2 linked regions of the Danio rerio genome follow. The protein of the gene in region 1 purifies or fractionates together with the protein of each later gene. This does not show direct contact. Links are inferred from orthologs where the notes say so. Each region holds a gene or a part of one and is shown on either strand. Other genes may lie near its edges. The genes, in order: lamtor5 and slc38a9.

Region 1 (11,270 bases):
GTTAACAAATACAATATGAAAACGAAGTTAAAACTAACAAAACCATTAATGAAATAATCTAAAACTAAACTGAACAGGAAATCTATAAATAGAAATTAAATAAAGCATACATTTTACAGTTCATTTAATTTTACATTAATTTAAAATGCAAATCTTTAAATAACCTTGGATCGAGTACACAGTGGTGTAAAGTAACTAATTACAACAACTCAAATGACTGTAATTGAGTAGTTTTTCTCTGGAATTGTAATTTACTAAGTAGTTTTAAAAATGTGTACTTTCACTTTCCCTTAAGTACATTTTTAGTGCTGTATCGGTACTTTTACTACACTACTTTACTTCAACCTGCAGTCACTACTTTATTTTTTCTTGTTAATGGGGATCATAAATCAGTCCTGTGATTCCTGTATAATCAAATCACACATAGAAGGTAAATCACATCATAATGAATTACCTTAAGACATGGGTGATTTATAAATGCAGCAAACTGTTTGGAAGCATTTAAAGTGTTCAAGTAGATGACCAAAATCTTTACATACAATGACCCAGAGATGGATGTTTACTGTATGATGACCGAAATGGCCTTAACCACCCAGCAGGCACAGGACGTCAACATGACATCAGATTGGCGTTGTATTCTAATGTCGTGGGGACGTTACATTTTGTTTGGAAATAAAATCGGGTTGATGTCACAACTCAATGTCAGGCCAACATCAATGTCCAACCAAATATCAACGTCTAATGATGTTAAAGCTTGACGTTGTGTGGACATTACCACTCTATCAGACGTTGGATTTTGGTTGCCATAGCTGATGAATAAATAGCAGTATTAGACGTCAATATGATTCTGGTGTAAGATGGTGGCTCGACGTTGAATTTTGGTCACTTTCTAACAACCTAAAATTGACCAAATATCAACGTCATTATTGGAATCAAAATAACGTCCTTAGACACTGACTGGACGTTGAATTTGGTCACCTGACATCACAACCTAAATCTAACCTAATATTAATGTCTTATGACGTTGTGTGCTTGCTGGGCAATCACTTAATGCACTACAGAATGTTACGTTTACACACATCTACAAATTACATGTAAACGCATCAACCTTTTACAGTGTAAAACTCACTACTCACTACTCTTGAGTACTTTTGAAAGGGCTTTTCACTCATACTTTGAGTAATATTTACAACAGATGCTTTTACTCTACTTGAACTATATTTTTATGCAAGTAATGGTACTTTTACTTGAGTTTGATGATTTTTTAGTACTCTTTCCACCACTGCAAGACAAGTACATATGTGAAGTACTTGAGTAAAGGTACAGATATCTTTAGAAAATATCTCTCAATTAAAAGTATTAAGTACTCCTTTTCGATTTTGCCACAGTTTAGGTACATTTTCAAATCATTCGCATAAACTAGAGACTTGCTCTGACTAAATCATTTGAATCCACAATCATACACTGTTTGGTTGAGACTTTTCAGCAATGACACAAGATTAATATGTTTAAACAAGAAACCAGTTTCAGTCGCAACTAGACCATTTGATTAGAAATCTGATGTAAAGCTGAAGTACGAGGGATGTGCATAAATCCAGAGACTCATTTTTGAATGCATATACTTATGGAAATGGAAATATTAATTTTGTTTTGGAGCATACTAGCTTAAAAATAACATTAACACACTAACAAATTCATAATGAATGGCAAATAAAATAATTTATCACTATATAATTTCTGACCACTGATCAGAAAACAAAAAAATAAACGTGGATGTGGCCCATTTGAACTGCTGACCATTAAAGCTCTGGGATACGTGAGCTACGTGATGAAACACAGCTATACAGAATCAATGAGCTTACTTGAAATTATAGCTAAATAAAATATCCAACTTGAAGGCAATTGGTGTGAGGGATAGCAGACTGGTGAATGTCAGTCCTAGCTGTTGGGATTTGATTTACGTTTAGCGGGAGCATGAAAATGCCATTGGTTAGTCAGCAGAGCATTACTCGGCTGCAGTGAAAGTGATTGATCTCACTGACGCCTGGGCCACATAATTACATTGCAACTTTTTGCCTTGTCAGCAAACCAGCTTGGCTCTAACTGCACAGGACTGGGCAGAAATCATCAAGCCTTGCCATGAGCAAAGAACCTAAGTTGGCTAAAAGAGCTTGAAAGCTGTTAAACGTAACTTCATAACAAATGCAGTACGAAAACTGAGCCAAAAGATGAAAATAATGAAATGAAATCAATCAGAGCATGTCTTTTATGTAAAATGAAATGATGATATATGGCTTTATATTCACTTAATAATTGACTTCATAATTAACATAAAAAATAAAGTATAGAAATAGTATAAACTGCAGTAAACTCCACTATTGGTAGATATAATAGAGTTGTTTGACTGAAACAATGACTCCACATGCAATAAATTTCAAATAAAAGAATAATATATATATTAGCCTTTATATCATAATTATCATTTTATTCAATACTTTATTTATTCAAACACATCTTCAGAACTAAAAGGAAAAAGTTCAATTTGTGCGCATAATACTGGTCTGTCCAACTATCAAGAGCGTAGAATTGGCATGGACAGAGGGGACATTGCCTCACCAATTACTGAAATGTCCCCACCAATAATTTAATAGCCTTCAAAATAAAATAATGCTCTGTCAAGCCTTAGTAACCTAAATGTGCTTAAAGAGTTAAATTCATACAGATAATAGGAATAAAATTGTTACATTTTGTCACATGCCTCTCTAAATTTCTGTACATTCATACCTCCTCAAACCAGATTACAGTAAAATCATGTCAATTGACTTTTGCAGCATAGAATTATTATTATTGTTATTTGTATTATTAGGTGTTTAAATGTTTTTAAAAGCATGAAACAGAATTTGTGCTGTTTAATACATTGGCTCTAGGGATGTACGTCTCCACCAATATCAAGAGCCTATGTGTTACTGTGTGTGTCAGAGAGACACAAAACCTTTTTACAGCTCTATAGATAATATTTGTTCTCATGTAGATGCTTGAAAAAAATGATCCAATATATGTATATACAGTATTTTTAAAAACATTTTCAATTACAGTTTTTCTTGTTTGCTTTGACCTGGTTAAAGAAACTAGGTTCTACTTCATTTTCATTATCATTATCACTATCCCAGCAAGTGCAGAAGACAGGTCTTGCAAATGTTTAAACCCTTTCTCATTGGGTTGACACATTTTCCGCACCATTTTTCAAAAAAGTTAACACGGATGTCATTCAAGCATTCCAAACTCCATTGTTTTAGCTATGGTAACCAAACAGAAACCATCTATTCCTAACCATTAGAAACTACCAAGATCAGTATGAATTCACTGAAAGCACCGGTTTGACACACCTTCACACAAATCTTCATTTAGCAATCAGTCTGCAAACATTAAAAATGGTAGAAGGTCTGTGTTGTTCTGTGCCTGCATGGATGGAGGAGGTCAATAGTGGCTATGTCCTACTCACAATAGATTTGACTGTATATTGGTTTACATGTTTTCTCTAATATTTACAGTATTTTATTACTTTTGTCTGTTTTTTTAACAGTATTTCAGTTTTAAGCCACAGTTTGAAAAAATGTCATGAATTCAACATAAATTTAATAAAGGCATTTCTTATTCTGGATCCAATTCTTTGCAAAAAGGCAGCCCAAATAAAAAGACAACAAATGGCATTGGCAATAGGTTACAATGGCAAGCAATGGTGCACTGATTCACACTGAGGTCTGTATTTTGTATTTTGTTGTTCATTGTGTAATGGTTAATTGAAAGAGCTCATATACTTGTTAGCAAGTTGTGTTGTTTGAAGGTTAAAATAGCTTTTGTTGCATATTTTAAATGTTTTGACACGGCATGTGCATTTTGCAACCAAAATGTGTTATTTTGACCATGAGTGCCGCTGTTTAGGCCTGTGTTTTAACTGTTTTAAAAATGTGGAGTTTCAGTTGACGGCTGCATGAAAGCAATCCAAGGAAAACTGTAAAATAAATTAAGCAAAATATCTTATTAAAAGACTTAAACTGCACAAAAATCAGTAGTCTAAAAATCCATATATATTTAAATGTATATATATACCCACACGCAAAAATAATAATATTGTAATGAAACTATATTTATAAAAATAAATCGATCATCAATAGACAGAAGTTAAGGAATTAAATTAACCCTATAAAAATGATATTCATCAAATATAAGGCTGCATCCAGTCAGGAAAGATTAAACTGTTCTGATGGGCTCTAGAGAGGCAGAAACAGGCAGCTATTATTCTGCCAGCTTATTTGCATGTATATTGACTTTGCTAACCTGATTCATGCTTTGCACTTTGCACAACTTGTGTAATAGTATATTTTATAATATGCTTCGCATATAGTTAAGCAAACATATAGTTAATGGATGTGACAGAGAAAAAATGTGTCTCATGTCAAACCCGGCTCTTAAACCAACCTCACAAACTATAAAAGAGAGTGCTTCAATATCTTGAGTTAAAAATGGAAAAGACTGTCTGATAAAGAGCTTGAGCTCAGACACAATTGACGGTGGTCTTTTATTGTGCGTCTGGTCAGGGGACAAGGTCATTTAGAGAGATACCAACACCGAAGATTCACACGTTCCTCTGGGAGTTCTCATTGACAATGCCAGCTAAATGTTAACCACATGTAGCCTACTTGCTTTTTAGAGCATTGAATGGTTTGTAAAGAATTTATTATTTGTTCAACATAAAAACGAGGATATAGAAGATCTAGACTCTGAATTATAGGTGATCAGTCAATAGCAGTGCTGCAGGAACATTCATTTATTCCAACAGCTGCATATTAATAAATTCAAGCTTTTCATTTTGGTTCAGAAATAGTCACTCTTCTACTTAGCATTTATTTCTCCTGTGGGACTTGTGGTATAATTGGTATTCTTTTGAGAATGTCTTGTGTGTTCATTTTAGTTTAATTAAAATGTTTAACCCAAAAAATTATATTGTATGACTGACTACTTGTCGAGGTTTAGCAGCAAACAAAAGAGGACCATTTACCTACCATCCTGACTTGAGTAAGATGGCGCTAGATCCTATTTGCTTGTTGTCCCTTAGAGGGCGCCGTAGTGTTAAGTCGCGTGTTAAACTGTCAGCTGACATCCCGGAAGTTATCCAAGTAACAAACATCGCTGCCAGTTTCTGAACATTTCGTGTTTCTTATTAGTTTAATAGCCTTATTTAGGACGCTGTTATGGAGGGTGCACTGGAGCAGCATCTTGACGATACGTATGTTTAAAAAGAAACCACTTTCTTTTCTTACGCATGTAACGTTACTCGTTTTGCGTCTTCATTTACTGATCTCCTTTCTCACTCTAGGATGAAAAATCCAGCTATTGTTGGGGTTTTGTGCACAGACGCTCAAGGACATAATCTAGGGTGTAAGTAATTTTTATATTTTCCTTAATACTTCCCTTAGTATAGTTTTCCTCTGGTGACCATGATTTGCTTGGTTTACATGTACTGGGTTTTCACTTGCAACAAGAGGTTAATATTGCTTTTAATATTTACACATGTGTTGAAGGTATGTAAAACGTTTTGAATTTTTATTAGTTTGATTTGTTTCTCAAAACAGGGAACGGGTGTCTACTGTGGACAACTTTATAACTGTGTTATTGACCAACTTAAAGTTAACTGAAACAATGGTAAACAAAAAAACATGGTTAACTGGGAGAAAATACAAGCCTATTCAAATGTAATTATGCAAAAAAAATGTAAAGTAAAATTAAATGATGTATAGATATAGTTTGAGTAGTAAAATCTATAATGGCATGTGTAGTATTAAAAATATTAATCTGATAAATTAATTCAACTTGAGCATTTTAAGCCTGCTTTTTCAGTGTATTACCATGTGCAAAACAATATACAATTTAAAACTTTTCAACAAAATATAGGGTTATAGAATTGTGCTTTATATAGATTCTCAGTTGACTCTTTTCCATTTGGTTTCCAGAACTTGAAAATATACTGTAATTCTCAATGACATTACAAATATTTTAATCTCCAGGCCGGGGCTCACTATCTGATGAACATGGAGGAGTTGTATCTGTACTGGCCAAGCAGGCTGCTTCTCTAACCAAAGATGCCACCGACTGTCCTACAGTGTGCCTGGAGTCTGACTGTGGGTAAGGAAAGCTTCTTGACCAGCATCTGTCTTATTTCTATGTATCTTGAGAATTTTTTGATTTGAGAGACAACAAAACAATCTGCAGAAATCGATGACATTAATTAAGAAAGTTAAATGAGGGAAAGTCAGTTAAACAACAATCTTTGAAAGTCATTCATCCCATTATACCTTCCCTCTTCCACACACACCAGTTGTCACTAAAGTGTATATATAGTGACGTGTAATAAGTATTGAAACTATCAAATTGGCGTGTGACTTTCTCAGAAAGTATTCCATTCATTTTAATTCATCAAGGATTAATATTTTGTGCTGGTCATTTGGTTGCTTTAGAACTGTCTTGGATCAATATCACTCAAAACCACCAATAGATGGCGGCAAGTCTTAATGAGTGATTCATTGAATCATTGATATTTGTAGTATGGATATAATTATAGAGAGGCATATGATTTCTTATGAGTTTTTGGGGGTTTATTATTTTAAAAAAAGCACTATTATCAAGTAAATGTTTTTAAGTAATGGTTAATTTTTTGCCACTATCATTATGGATATTCAATCAAAAGTAATGAAAGCAATGGAACCATTTCAATATAATGCATGGCATATGTATTACTAATTAATAGATGTAATTCATCTTTTTTTAAAGTTAATGCGGATGGGTTTAAACAAAGTAAATCAATTGATTTTAACATTATAATTCCTGTACACAGTAGTTAATAAAGATTGAACATTTAACTAAACGGTTTTAAAAATGTCTGCACAGCCACAAATTTGTTGGCAATATGCTAAAAGAATGTAACTTGCCATTAAACAAGAACAACGAAAAAATAAAAGGCGCTCTTTTTTTTTTTTTTTTTAGCATTAATTTCTCACCCATGACTTGTGGAATTGCTATTCTTTTGAGAATGTCTTGTGTGTTTATGGTTGGCAGATTCTTAAGTTGACTGAACTTGCCACCAGCTGTGATTTTTAGAAACTGATATACCTGGAGTAAGCACCGTCTGACCTGGGATAGGGAAGAGCAGGGCACAAAGTAACACTTTTTGGTTTTGGCCAAATAATGAACAAAGTAATGGGCTTAGACAAACCATTTTTTGTACCAACAACACACAAACTGTCTCCTACAGTTTCTGTGCAGTATTGCCAAAAGTGCCAGGAGCAAAAATGTTACTATTTGCCCCAGCAGTGGGGCACGTTGTAACAAACAGAGGGTAAGTTGTAACGCATGCTTACAAAGGCAGATTCCACACAGTTAATTTAATTTCTGTTTACTTTAAATAGTAGCTATATTTCCTCAGTACTTGGCTCAATTTATTTTGTGTTATACATAGCACAGCATGTTTATTTACTTATTTATCCACTTAATGAACACATTTGGATTTTTTTTTTGCATTATTATAAAATGCGTTTATTTGCATTATTAGCAATAAAACTAATTTTTTCTATTAAAAAATATATATTTTCTATAAAAAAATCATGTTTATTTAAAAAGTTCTCAACATTACATTATCAAAAATAAAAAATAAAAATATTCAGTTAGTTTAATTGGTGTCCAACAGTGTGTGGCTTAATTGTAACACCCTGTTACAACTAACCCTGCTGTGTCGTGTTTTCTTCAAAACTGACTAGCAGTCACTGTCTTTTTACATCTTTCAAAATGGTTTCATCTTTTAGCCTAGAAGATGGTAATCACAGCAATATAAGATTTTTTCGTACATGCTTTCACAGATGTTTTTTTAAGTAAAACAAATTTGCTGTAATAAAAAATACTGCAAACTGCTGGAAAAATGGTTTCTGTGTTTCTCGTCCAATTTTCAACAAACTTTTTCAATAATTGGCAGGAAGATGTCTGCCGACGCTGTGGTGAAAATTTTGGAAGCATGCCATGGTTAACCCTGAGCAAAAACCTTAAAATTGTTACATTTTACCCCACGTTACTTTGTGCCCCGCACTCCCCTTATCTATTTAGAGTTCTGGGTATATGTGATTGTAAGTTAGCCTTGCTTTCTGGAATACCCCTCTGTTTTGCTCTGGCTTTGTATATAACTACTTTTGCTGGTGAAAGGGCAAGAAAAGCAGGCAGTATTATGTTATGTCTGAAATGTAACTTAATTTTAGCTTTGTACACAAAAATCAATATCTATTTGTGATCATGCCTATGCACTGACATTTAGGTAAATGGCACTGTGACTTGTGTGCTATTACCCAAGCAACTCGTTTGTTATAATAAAAAAAAACAGAACAATATTTTTGGCTTTCATAACAGCATATTGAGTCAATCTAAATGCATTCTGACAGGCTTCACTGTGTAGTGAATGCTTTTGGTATCTCAAGATGTGTTTTAATTGTAGTTTTGCTAACCAGGTGATAATCTCAAATCAAACAGCAGCTAATTTTAATCTTAAGTATTAAATGGGAATTCTATGTCATTCTGTCATTGCAGGAACATCTTGGTGAGAAGACATGGAACAATTACACTGGCTGTGCATAAGATGGCATCGTGAAATCTGTTGGTCTAAGTTTTTTCAATTTTAAAGATCATTAGTATGCGTTTGATAAGCTTCTGCTGTCAATTGTCGAAACATAGAAGCTCTATGGGTGTGTGAAATCTTGTCTTCCATCATATCAGAAATCGTCAGATGTTTGTTGTCAGTGTTTAATCTAATTTATTTTCCTATATTATTACTTTCTTTCAACCATAAAGCACACTTTAAATGTCTTCACTGCTTTTTTGTTCAAACAGTGAATAAATGCATTAAGGAAATTCACGTGGTTGAGTCTCTGTGGTTGCACAGTTAAGAGAGTTTTAGTTGAAGTAACACAGTGTGTTCAAAAGGGGGCAGCAATTGTAATTGAATCACCTTTAAGAGTATCTATGGTGAGTAACAGTTTATATACATGAATAACAATTAAAAATCAAATGTCGAGACAGATCAACCCTTCAAATTAATTATCATCATCATCTTGGTCAGTAACTACCAATAATAAAAGCTGTGTAATGTAAACTAGTAAAGCAATTTTTTTTAATGAATAACAAATTCAAATTATATTATATTTATATTGTATTATATTTTAGATTGCATTGGTTTGTTGTGTGCAAATAGATGCAGGCAATTATTTTTGTGTGTGTCACTTGTTTGCCTTGGATAACTCGTTCTGCAATAAAGCATATGAGGAAAATTTGAGGGAACTCGGGGTTCCTGAATTTTTTATCAGTCACTCAGACCTGTCATAAAGTGTTCTTCTGAATGCATGTGATGACTCTGGATAACAGTTAACAGCAAAATACCTTAGCTCAGATCTTGACTGTAAAAGGTTCATCATTTTCACTCTAGGGTCAATATAGTTAATCAACCAAGTCTTAATTTTTCCAAAAATTACACCAAGTACGCAGCATGAATGCCAAAAGAAGAAATTGTTTCCCCCTCAATTATTTTGATATATTGTATCTTGAATGCATTGAAATGTTTTGTATGATCTGAATGTGTAAAAATAAAGTACCAAAATAGTACTGAGAGCATGGGGATGCAACATAATCACCATTGTAGTAAATGTTTAACTTGATATTTTTGCATATTGAAATGCCATTAACAAATGTTCAAGCTTACAAAATTTATGAATAGCAGCTCTAAACAGTCGATTAGTTTTTTCCTCAAGCAAAACGAGTGCAGTTTGTGTGCACTTTAATTAAAACACACGTTTTTATTAGTGCCTTTAGGGATTTGTCAAACATTAGAGATACTACCTGAATACCTAAACATTCATAATTTGACCTTGAAGCAACAAAGCTTGGTGCTTTTTACCTCTTTCGAATAGCCACAGTCCAGGAAAACCTCTGAAATTAGTTCCACTTCAATACTTGGCTTGTAGGTTCCGGTCACATGGTCAATAAGTGCACTAGCGGCAGGTCGTTGGCTCTGCACAACCTGAGCGCATTGCATCCAATCTGTGCCGGTCCCAGGGGTCTGAAGTGACCCCCCCGAGACACTCAGACTGGGGGCCAAATTTTCAGAAAACATAAGAAATCAAACGCAGGGAGTCCAGCCATGTTCACGAATGACTTTGATAAGACTTGCCGCCTCAGAGGAGGAGCTGTCATCGGGAAATCCAAGGATGTTGCCCGCAGCTCAAGTGCCGGAGCGCGCATGAGGAATCATCCACACCAAATCAAGTCTTAACAAGTGAAATCTGGAATAAACTGACTTGACTTTTAGTGTTTCGAGAAATATGGTAAGTCTCGTCTCCACCCTAATGTTTACGTTTATGAAATGTTCGAATATTTACATAATTAATTTGCTCGTTTGCAGACAATTTTGCGTTGTAGTATTAATTTTGTAGCTTATATTATTTTTTCCAGACTAAGCTTGTCATTTCTTTCACAAACTACTGTTTTTTTTTTTGTTGGATGTTAATTTTAAAAGCTGATTTAAAAAATAATTGTTGGAAAATGGATGACAAAAACAAAGTTTAAACTTTTAAAAGCTTGAAGTTGAAGTTAAATAAAATAAATATATCGATTAATCACTGCTTTCTCAAGATAACAGTTCTTTGAAACTTTTGTGTGAATTAAATTTGTATTCTGCTTATTTACTAGCCTGTCAGATGTGTTTACTTTTAAAACTAGTTTAATAGCTGAATCACAGTAAGCTTGAAAAGTGTGTTGTTTGTAATGCTTTTTAATAGTTTAGTTTAATTCAATGACATGCAACAACGTGTAGGCTAGATGGAAGCTTTTAAATACGATTAAAGTTTTCTTTATGTTTCACCCAAACAGAACTTAACAGAAAAATAAAACCGGTTACACTTCAAAACACGAATCAGGTAATACAAGAGCTTTAATTGACGGTGTTTTTCTGTCGACTGTTATTGATAGGTGTAAAGTGCTGCATTCCAGTAGCGCGCATTCACATGAACGCCGCTGGGGTCGCGAGATCCACACACGAGCGCTATGCGGCTGCTGGGCTGACAGCGCGCGACAGCATCGGCTCTGGCGTTTGGGTAAGTGCATAAGTGCAGCACCCTAGTAATTTTCCCCACTTTTTTGTGTCGTGATATTGGATTACGAACTAAGCCTGAGTTTTAGACGTT
Region 2 (10,805 bases), on another chromosome or scaffold:
TCGATAAAATGACTCCTGATTTATAATGTACTATATACATTTAATCCTGTTTATTCATTTGCAGAGGTTTCACACTACACAATCCTAAACCCTGGGTTAATTGAGGCTGCATTGATTTAAAACTAGCCTAGAGCGCCGTCGACTGTTAAAAACTAGCCTAGAGCGCATCTCCTGTTTAAAATAGCCTAGAGCGTATCTGCTGTTTAAAATAGCCTAGAGCGGCATCTGCTGTTTAAAAACTAGCCTAGAGCGCCGTCGACTGTTAAAATCTAGCCTAGAGGGCATCTCCTGTTTAAAATAGCCTAGAGCGCATCTCCTGTTTAAAATAGCCTAGAGCGTATCTGCTGTTTAAAATAGCCTAGAGCGGCATCTGCTGTTTAAAAACTAGCCTAGAGCGCCGTCGACTGTTAAAATCTAGCCTAGAGGGCATCTCCTGTTTAAAATAGCCTAGAGCGCATCTCCTGTTTAAAATAGCCTAGAGCGTATCTGCTGTTTAAAAACTAGCCTAGAGCGCCATCTGCTGTTTAAAAACTAGCCTAGAGCGCCATCTGCTGTTTTAAAACTAGCCTAGAGTGCATCTCCTGTTTAAAATAGCCTAGAGCGTATCTGCTGTTTAAAAACTAGCCTAGAGCGCCATCTGCTGTTTAAAAACTAGCCTAGAGCGCCATCTGCTGTTAAAAACTTGCCTAGAGCGCATCTGCTGTTAAAAACTAGTCTAGAGCGTCGTCTGCTGTTTAAAACTAGCCTAGAGCGTATCTGTTTAAAAGCTAGCCTAGAGCGCCATCTGCTGTTAAAAACTAGTCTAGAGAGTCTTCTGCTGTTTAAAACTAGCCTAGAGCACCGTCTGCAGTTAAAAACAATTCTAGAGCACCATCAGCTGTTAAAAAACTAGCCTAGAGCTTCATCTGCTGTCAAAAACTAGCTTAGAGTGGCGTCTGCTGTTAAAAATGAACCTAGAGTGCCATCTGCTGTTAAACTAGCTTAAGAGTGCCATCTGCTGTTAAAATATTCCTAGAGCGTCATCTGCTGTTAAAGACAATCCTAGAGTGCTGTCTACTGTTTAAAACGAATCTAGAGCCCCATCTGCTGTAAAAAAACAAGCCTAGAGCCCATCTGCTGTTAAAAACAGTCCTAGAGCATCATCTGCTATTAAAAACAAACCTAGAGCTCCATCTACTTTTAAAAACTAGCCTAGAGCACTGTCGTCTGTTCAAAAACTAGCCTAGTGCGCCATCTGCTTTTAAAACCAGCATAGAGTACCATCTGTTGTTTAAAAACTAGTCTAGAGGTCCATATTGTTGTTGTTGTTGTTGTTGTTGAAAAGTAGCCTATTGATATGAGACACAAGTAAGAAAAGTGATGGATTTTTGAAAATCTCAGAATCAATGCTATTTTTTCCCCAATCCTCAGGCATACACAGATTTGTAGACTTCCTTTACTTCATATTGACAGCTATTAGCCTAGTGTGCAAAATACACTTTTTTTTTTTCGTTTTATGAGTGTATGACGACAGGGTCACTTTGACAATTTTTTATTCTTTTTTTCCCATGAAACATTTTTCAGTTTTTAGTGTATTTGTTGATTTTTAAACACTCTTTCCAAACATACAGAACTATGTATTTTATTTGAAGCATGAACTACAGGTTCTAAGTACAGGTGGAATGACACGAGAGTGAGCAAACGATTACACACACAAAATAATGAGGAACACAAGGATATGATTCATTTGTTAGTTGTTTTGATTATTCATATGGCAATTATTCTGAAGCCAAAATTAGCTGATTGTGAGATCATTCTGCTGTTTGAGGGCTGAAAGTCGAGGATGAAAATCTCTTATAATGCCATTTAACAGTGATTTCTACTGTTTGTATCTGTGTGTAATTAAGTTAGTCCATGGCTTTGATTCCTTTTTTCTTCTGCACTGTTTGGTTTGTGGAGGATGCGCTTTTAAATGCAGATTAACATGGTCTTCAAGCATAAATTCTGCTTTTTGTCAATCATTCAGCACAATGCATTATTTGTTTAGGGACTTGTGAAGTTTATGATCTAGTCCAATAGAGTATTATAGGCTCTGTGATGTAACGGATTTGCTTATGCACCTTATCTCTGCAGGCACCTCCAGACCACGTGATTCCTTCTCATGAGGATATCTATATCTACAGTCCGCTGGGAACAGCGTTCAAAGTGCAGGGAGGAGACAGCCCTATCAAAAACCCCAGCATTGTCACAATGTAAGACCACCCTCAGAGCAGTTTTAGACTGAAATGCAAAATTAAAGCTTTCTAGTCTGCATGTGTGAAAATATAGTCAGTATGAAAAGTTTGTAGATTGATGTGATGATGTTCCCAACACGATCTTATGGCAACTTGTAACCATTTTGCTGCAATTTGTAAAATGTCATTCATGTTTATTTGACTTGCTTAGAAGAAATAAGTCAAGCTTTAATAATGGGCGTATTATCTTCCTATTATTTTAATATTGGCTGTTTATTTGTAGTTGTAAAACATATTCTGCATAATATTATTCCTACCCAATACTTAAACCCAATACCTGTTAATAAGCAGCAGATTAGGAGTTTCAGGCAAAAACTGTTAATGCTTTGGTAACAGTGAGAATTTAACCTTTAAAATAAAGTATGACTTAATTTATATACATACATACACACACACACACACACACACACACACACACGCACACACACACACGTTATATGGGCCATTTATATGGATAAAGAAAATTAATAAAAAGTTTTTTTCCTATTGAAAAAACAAAAATTGGATCCAAGATGGCCGACTTCAAAATGGTCACCATGGTCACCATCCATCATGAAAAGTTTGCCCCCTCACATGTACTAATGTGCCACAAACAGGATGTTAATAACAGCAATCATTCCCAGTTTATGTTATTCCTTATTTATATGTGTATCCATATAAATGGCCCACCCTGTATGTATGCGTGTGTGTGTGTGTGTGTGTGTGTGTGTGTGTGTGTGTGTGTGTGTGTGTGTGTGTGTGTGTGTGTGTGTGTGTGTGTGTGTGTGTGTATGTGTATATATTTATATAATTATTTTTTAATCGTTTAACTGATTTCATTTATGGATTCAAAAGGCACCTTTTTGTTTAATGATGAATCTGTTATTATGAGCATCCCTGGGCCACTGCCTCGCCTATATATATATATAATTTTTTTTTCTTCAAAGTGTTACATAATTTTAAATCCTACAAATTATTTAGTCAAGAGAGATTGCATTTGTCATTTCCATGTTAAAGTTATTAAACCTTTGTTTAAATGAGTGCTTGTGTGTGTATACAGCTTTGCCATATGGAACACCATGATGGGAACATCTATATTAAGTATACCATGGGGAATAAAACAAGTAGGTGTATATTTCTCTCCTATATTTCCTTTGGTCATTGCCAGTTATACAATAAAGGTAATTTATTATAATTTATTTGTTCTCTTTCTAGGCTGGTTTTACATTGGGCATTATCATTATTGTTCTTATGGGCCTGTTGACGCTCTATTGCTGCTACAGAGTGTTGAAGTCCACAAAATCAATTCGTAAGCCAATTGCAACCATGCTTGTACATTTTTCGCACAATACATGAGTGATTCAGTGTAGCTCTTAAACACGTTCATTTATAATGTTAACATTCCCAGTTTAGCTGATATTTATTTATTTTTATTTTTTGTTTTGTTTTTTTTGACGGAGATAGTATTGTTTTGTTAGATGAACAGTGTGACCCAGGTTCAAATCCAGTGTTTCTTCTTACTTTTTTTTTTTAAGTCAAACAAATGTCATTTACACATTTCTGTCGTCTTTAGTAAGACCAGCTTATGAGTCGTGAGGGATAAGTCTATATGCCTGCAAGTTCCATCATGGACACAGAACCACATTTAATATTTTTTGTCACAAAGTACAGTGAAAAGCAGCCCATACAGTCACATCTTTTATACGTGTTAAGGAGGAGTGTAAATATTACAGTTATGACAGAGTTAAATGTGTTTAGATGAAGAAAAAAACTTCGAAAAATCACTTGATCACGTTAAAATGACAGGTAATATGTGTGTATGTTTACTAATTTATTCACACATTTGCATTAATCAGAGCAGAAAAGAGACAAGCTGCCCTGTAAGCAGTATCTTAATAAAATTGTTTAATTAAAATAAATGATCAACAAATGAATCTGACGTGACGGTCTCTACAAGTGAATTCCCAATAAGAAAAATACTACAAACTATTCATTAAAGAAACAAAACAAATGCAATTGTCTAATGCAAGCGGGCTGCGTTTCAGACCAGTTCAGCTCAATAGTGTATAATGTCTCCAACATCTCCTGAAGTCCCATTTCACAACTTGATAACAACCGTCTTTTTAAAGAAGCGTCCCGATTTAAAAATAAATAAATAAATAAATCAAGACTGTGATGCAACTGATGTGTTATGTCGTAGAATAAAATGTGAAAGTATCTTAAGTTTGTGTTAGCCACCAACCTCATTTAAGAGATTTTTAATCAAAATCCCATTGAAAAAAAAAAACATCGACTTTGGGACGAGGCAACCAGAACTGCTAGAATGCTAACTCGCTTCCGGATTTTTGCCTACAAATTGACGTCATAGTTCCTCCACTCTATTGTGGTTGTGTATTACTCTTGAGGGGTTTGTTTACCTCTGCAATCCTTTCTACTTTATCTGATTTGATAAGGACATTTCTAAGGCCTCTGAATAATCAACATGATCAAAGGAAAGAAACCGGTTTTAAACCTGTTTAAAGTTTTTTCTATGAAGCTTATGCTTAAAAATAAATGTTAACAGAGTCATCATAATCAATTTTACCAATTCTACTAATGTATCTATAAAGACACAACAAACAATGTCTCTCTCTCTCTCTCTCTCTCTCTATTTTTTTTGTTTTACTTTAACTGTACACACACATTAACATACTGTTAAAACAGATTTATAAGCCTCCCCCCTGTTTATTTTATCCTCAATTTCTGTTTAACGAAGAGATTCCTTCAGCACTTTTCTACACATAATAGTTTTAATAACTCATTTCTTATAACTGATTTATTTTATCTTTGCCATGATGACAGTAAATAATATTTGACTAGATATTTTTCAAGACACTTCTATACAGCTTAAAGTGACATTTAAAGGCTTAACTAGGTTAATTAGGTTAACTAGACAGGTTAGGGTAATTAAGCAAGTTATTTTATAATGATGGTTTGTTCTGTTGACTATCGAAAAAATATATTGCTTAATGGGGCTAATAATATTGACTTTACAATTGTTTTTAAAAAATTTACAGCTGCTTTTATTCTAGCCAAAATAAACCAAATAATACTTTTTTTAGAAGAAAAAAATATTATCAGAAAAATTGTGAAAATGTCTTTGCTCTGTTAAACATAATTTGGGAAATATTTAAAAAAGCAAAAAAATAAAATAAAAAATTCAAAGGGGGCTTATAATTCTGACTTTAACTGTATGTCATTTTTGCTTGTCTTTTTTTCATATGTCATGCCAGAGTTAACATGAAGTTTTTTTTAAATATGAAACTCTGTGTCTTTGCAGCTTATGTAGATACCTCAGACTGGGAGTTTCCTGATGTGTGTAAATATTACTTTGGGGGTTTCGGAAAATGGTCCAGTCTCGTCTTCTCGTTGGTGTCACTGATTGGTGCAATGGTGGTCTACTGGGTGCTCATGTCTAACTTCCTGTTCAATACGGGAAAATTCATTTTCAGTACGTGACTGTTTTTCCTGCCCTTTCTCATTTGTTTTACTGCCAATTAGAATTCTAATATTGTTTTTCTGAATAACCTTTTAATTGTTTTTCTGAATAACCTTTTATATATTTTGCATTTACAGACTATGTTCACAATGTCAACACATCAGATGCATTTGGCACAAATGGAACTGAGAGAGGTGAGCAGTCATTATTATTATTATCATTATTAGTATAAAATAGTCTGAAGTTGTAAGCATAATCATTTACATTACATGGTCAAAGATACTCAACACAATCCAAATGGCTTGATTTATTAATTGCTCTGACTTGAGGCTGATTTATACTTCTGCATCAAGAGCACGTGTATGCTACGGCGTTAATGCATAGCCCTACGCCGTGGCCGTTGGCGTCGCTGACGTGCACCTTTCAAAAAGTGTAATTACACATCGCAACGAGGCGTAGTGTAAGCTCTGTGATTGGTCGGCTTGGTAGCGCTGATGAGTCTGGGCGGGACCGAGAGTCGCGCGAATGGCGCGACCCTGATGGAGAAATTGTTTACAAGTGTGGAGTTCCGTGAAGGAGCTCCGGATGGAAAGTTTTGTTTTGTGTTTATATCATAGTTAAAGTTGTTGCACGTCCGCCGCTTCCTGCCTCAAAATGAGCGAGTTTGAGCCACTTGTGCATCCAGGAAGTGTTCAAGAAAAGCAAAACATCAGAGAAGAAACTCGACACAGAGGAACATTTACACCTCACTGCCAACTAGTGTTTCGGAAGTGTTAATGTAGACCAACAGAGACAGCGCGCAGAAGTATAAACGCTCAGCTACGCGCGTTGTATGCGCCGTGGGTCACGCCGGTCACTTGACGCAGAAGTATAAACCAGGCTTTATGCTGTAAAACGAAAAGACAGAAACAAATATTAATAGTATACAGTGTATCTCAATTAAAGAAAAATATGACAGAATATTTCATAAATTATACAAATTATAGCCAAAAGAACCATTGGTGAAATCATGGGAGTTGCCATCTTTATTAAGTCCATTTGAAGTCCTGCAGAAGTCGTGTTCATGGATATGCTGAAGTATTGAAAACTTACTGTATCTTTCAGACTGTCATGGTAGTATAAAGTAGATGATAAATTAAATTGAAACAAGAGTGCTGAAGGAATTGGAGCTAACAGATGAGCGTGACGCAGAACGAAAGCAGTGAAGCTTTTATTATGACACTATTTACTGTTTTCAGTTCTTCTGTTCATGATCACGTGGACAAGAAGCTGCACTGTTTTATTATACTAAATACATTTTAGGGTTCTGTTATAAAGCTGCTGTGCACGGTCAAATAAAAAACAAAACTTATTAAAGCAATTTGGTGATTTCCTGTTATCTATGAAAGAACTGAAAATTAGAGTGGCACCAATTAAACTCTTTAGGGTTAAATAATCAAAATGCAAAAAAATGCTTTTCTTTGCATCGTCTCGTTTCTAGTCTAAATAGCTCAAATTCTTGAATCAAGTAAAAATATTAGTTTGTTTTCACTTTCAGAAGAAATAAGTCAAAATTAAGAGTTTTTATTCCCTTAAAATAAGCTAAATGAGATCATTTAGCTTATTTTAAGGAATGGGGCAAGTAAAATATTTTGTTCTCATTTTGAAATGTAAATATTTGGACTGGGAACAAGACTAAAATATGAATTTTTTTCTTAATAAATTTGATAAATTCTGTTTAAATAATAAAATGCTATTAATCTTAGTTTTATCACATTATAGTTTTTTGTGCTCAAATGTTTTATACTCTGTTGAAATGCTCAGTCACAGGCCTTAAAAACACATGCACATACGATTAAACATAGCAGGGACTCAACGAAATTCTGAGGGTAAGTATAGATACCGTCAACGCCTGTAATGTAATTTACAATAAAATGTCAGACTTTCAGACATCTTTGCTTAGGGAAAAAATAAAGTATTATTTTTCTTAACACCAAAATGTAATTTTTTGTTTAAATGCCCCTGTGGCTTTGCACATACAACATAGGTAAAACAAAGCATTGTCTAAAAACTTGTATTGCAGAACACCCAAATAACACTGCTCAATTGCCAAAGAAATCCCATTGCTGCTTCCTTCAATGCTGTTAAACATAATATATTGACTCCGCATTATATTGGTATTGAGTGTGTTAAAGCACAAGACTAGAACTAGAAGAGGTGTTGATATTGATACTTCGATTTCAAAGGGAAGCGTTTTACATTTATACTTTACTGTCATCAAAAGGTTTAAATTAGAAATTAGATTTGAAATTTTTATATTTATTATATATTTATATATTATGTTTTATTTAGCATTTTATTGGTTGATTAATTGATTAGGTTAATTAATGGTTTCAGGTGTGATGTTGGTGAAATGATGAAACTGGAGTAGCGTAGCATCCATTAGATGCATACTTCAGAATCTAACCGGAAGTAGTAGGTCATCCGGGTACTTCTCACAAACAGTTTTTTTGAAAACTATATATTTCGACATACTACTCAGCTTGCATATTCTTTTAATGTGCATAGTTTTTAATGTATTTTAATATGGAAGTATGCGATTTCAGACACACTCAGGGCTATTCAATTGGTTTTTCATGGGCGCCGGTTCATGAAAAGCATCCCAAACGAAGGGCCGGAGAGATATGACTTGCTATATGAGTGATAACACAACAGCATATAAGAGCCCATATGCTGTATTTTTCCTTAAGACACCCATATTGTATTTTTCTACATTGAAACGTTAATATGTTGTATGTTGTATTTTGAAACTACATAATATCAGTGCATTGTACAATAGACTTTTTTTTTTCCTTTTTTTTTTTTTTTTTTTTACAAACATTCTAATGTTGTATTTCAGAGCACAACTAAATCAGCGCATCATAGGCTTCTTCTACATTCAGACACATTCATATTTTATTTTTTTGAACTGCATAACAATTAGGGATGCAACAATTATAGATTTGGTTGTACAATTATATATTCTGAAGAATAATTATGGTTTCATGGTTATCACGTATAATGTAAATTCAAGTTTTATATTGGGTAAGTAGCTATTTAGATTAACTGTTGTTGCCATCTGCGTTCATGCATATCATTTTAATAATAATTCGTCAAATATATCTTTTGTTTACATTGCACTGAAAGGCACGCACAACTCTCACCATGAGATGTTTTCTACTGCGTGCACCCGGAAAGATGCAAGCGCATTGCTCTGCTTGATCACGCATACATTATTTTAGAAATAACACACTTCCAAGCAGAAAAGACGTGATATGGGAACGGCCACTGCTATAGTTAATCCGGTGTGCGTGTGTATTAGCCTCATTGTTATTGGAACTTCAAACTAGCGCACCAGTTGGCAACTTGGCATAACTTTTGTTTAATTGCAGCAGTTTTTTACCCTGCAACAGAAAAGTGGCTTAGGCCATACTCACACTACGTACAGTTGCCTCGAACCGGGCCAAAGCATGCTTGTCCCGCTACTGCGCTGTTCAGTGAGAAGCGCTCTCAGTCAGCAGCACAGTGGAGATTTCTCTAGTTAAATAATTTCAGTGGTTTGTTATGCAGTGACATGCAGTCAAATATTTCGCCAAACAGTCCTTAGGGATGCGGTCACATGCAGTCAGATATTTCGCCGAATAGATCCGCCACTTTTGGCACTCATAATCATAATGCTCTCGTGCTGCAGGAGGAGGTCTGCTGAAGGCGCGCAGCTGTCGTGCAGTGAGGAGTTTGCGTCTTTAATAATCTACGGCAGTTTGTGTTCACTGAACAGTAAGAATGTTTCATAAATCCATATGAAACAGCCTCTTAAAAGTCACGTCTCGCTTTCAGTTTCGGGCTTTGGCCCAAGTGAACCGCGCTCAGGCCCACCTCTTCCAACCGGGCCAGGGCCGGCCAAGTGAACCATGCCTGAGCCCGATTCAGCGCACTCACACTTCTCAAACGATCTGGGAAACTGGCCTGGGCACAGTACAGATGGCATAGTGCGAGTAGGCCCTTAGAGAAGACTTTACGATTAATTAACTGTGACGAATTAAAGCGCAGTTAATAATAAAATCGGCTAATTGTTGGATCCCTATGTTTTCAACTGGAGCTTGTGCTGTATTGAACAGACGCACGTCACTTCATAACTGTAGCGGCTGTATTTCGACTGAAATAAATTTATTTTTGATGTCTTGGACACACTGTTTGGAGGGCCGGAACAAATTGGGGCCTGGTTCGCCCCGCGGGCCGCCAATTGAATAGTCCTAAGCCCTTTAACCTCTCTGATGTCTTGTTTGACCAAATGAAGACCAGCTTGGTTAAAACCAAGTAAAAAGCTTTTATTTTTACAGTAACAGTGACTTTGATCTTTTTACAATGTGTCTTTGTTGACCACTACTAGTGGTTGGATCACTAAAAATGCATATTAAATTGATAAATAACCCAAAACTGGAAATCTTTTCCATCAATTACCCACCCTTCACTTGTCACAAATTTATTTGAGTTTCTGTCTTCTGTTGAACACAAACTGTTATTTTAAAAAGTGTTTGAAACCTGTACCCATTGGCCGCCATAGTATTTTACTCATAGTAATATATGAGTAAACTCATAAAGGTCACTGGAAGTTAGTGAGTAAATTTAGATTTTTCAGTAAATTATCCAACACAATGTGGAAACAGGGCCTTAAATGTGCTTATTTGAATACAATTAACATGTACACGTGTTTCTGTGTTCTCCGGCACTAGTCATATGTCCGTATCCAGATGTGGATCCACATGGGAACAGCAGCACCTCCCTGTACTCTGGAAGTGATAACAGCACAGGTCTTGAGTTTGATCATTGGTGGAGTAAAACCAACACCATCCCGTTTTACCTCATCCTCCTGCTGCTGCCGCTGCTCAATTTCCGCTCCGCTTCCTTCTTCGCCAGGTTCACTTTCTTGGGTATGACCTTCATTTTCCCCCTAGAGTACTGATATTTCTTTTTGAATTGAAATCAAAAAGGTACATATTTTTAGTAAAGCAAGATGACAAAATTTTTTATTAGAAAATGCATTTCAAATGATTGCT

The links.
Region 2: the proteins of lamtor5 (region 1) and slc38a9 purify together in Homo sapiens (co-immunoprecipitation; 5 studies listed by BioGRID and IntAct, with this or other methods). This does not show direct contact. The link is inferred for Danio rerio from reciprocal best matches to the Homo sapiens genes LAMTOR5 and SLC38A9.

What each region holds. Positions count from the first base shown.
Region 1 is NC_133183.1:26,631,245-26,642,514, forward strand, and holds lamtor5 (ragulator complex protein LAMTOR5), read left to right. Parts: upstream 1-5,126; 5' UTR 5,127-5,252; coding exon 5,253-5,287; intron 5,288-5,377; coding exon 5,378-5,439; intron 5,440-6,065; coding exon 6,066-6,183; intron 6,184-8,625; coding exon 8,626-8,686; 3' UTR 8,687-9,206; downstream 9,207-11,270. UniProt on the Homo sapiens protein: As part of the Ragulator complex it is involved in amino acid sensing and activation of mTORC1, a signaling complex promoting cell growth in response to growth factors, energy levels, and amino acids.
Region 2 is NC_133185.1:7,422,772-7,433,576, forward strand, and holds part of slc38a9 (neutral amino acid transporter 9), read left to right. Parts: intron 1-2,112; coding exon 2,113-2,231; intron 2,232-3,312; coding exon 3,313-3,376; intron 3,377-3,467; coding exon 3,468-3,561; intron 3,562-5,571; coding exon 5,572-5,742; intron 5,743-5,867; coding exon 5,868-5,924; intron 5,925-10,481; coding exon 10,482-10,679; intron 10,680-10,805.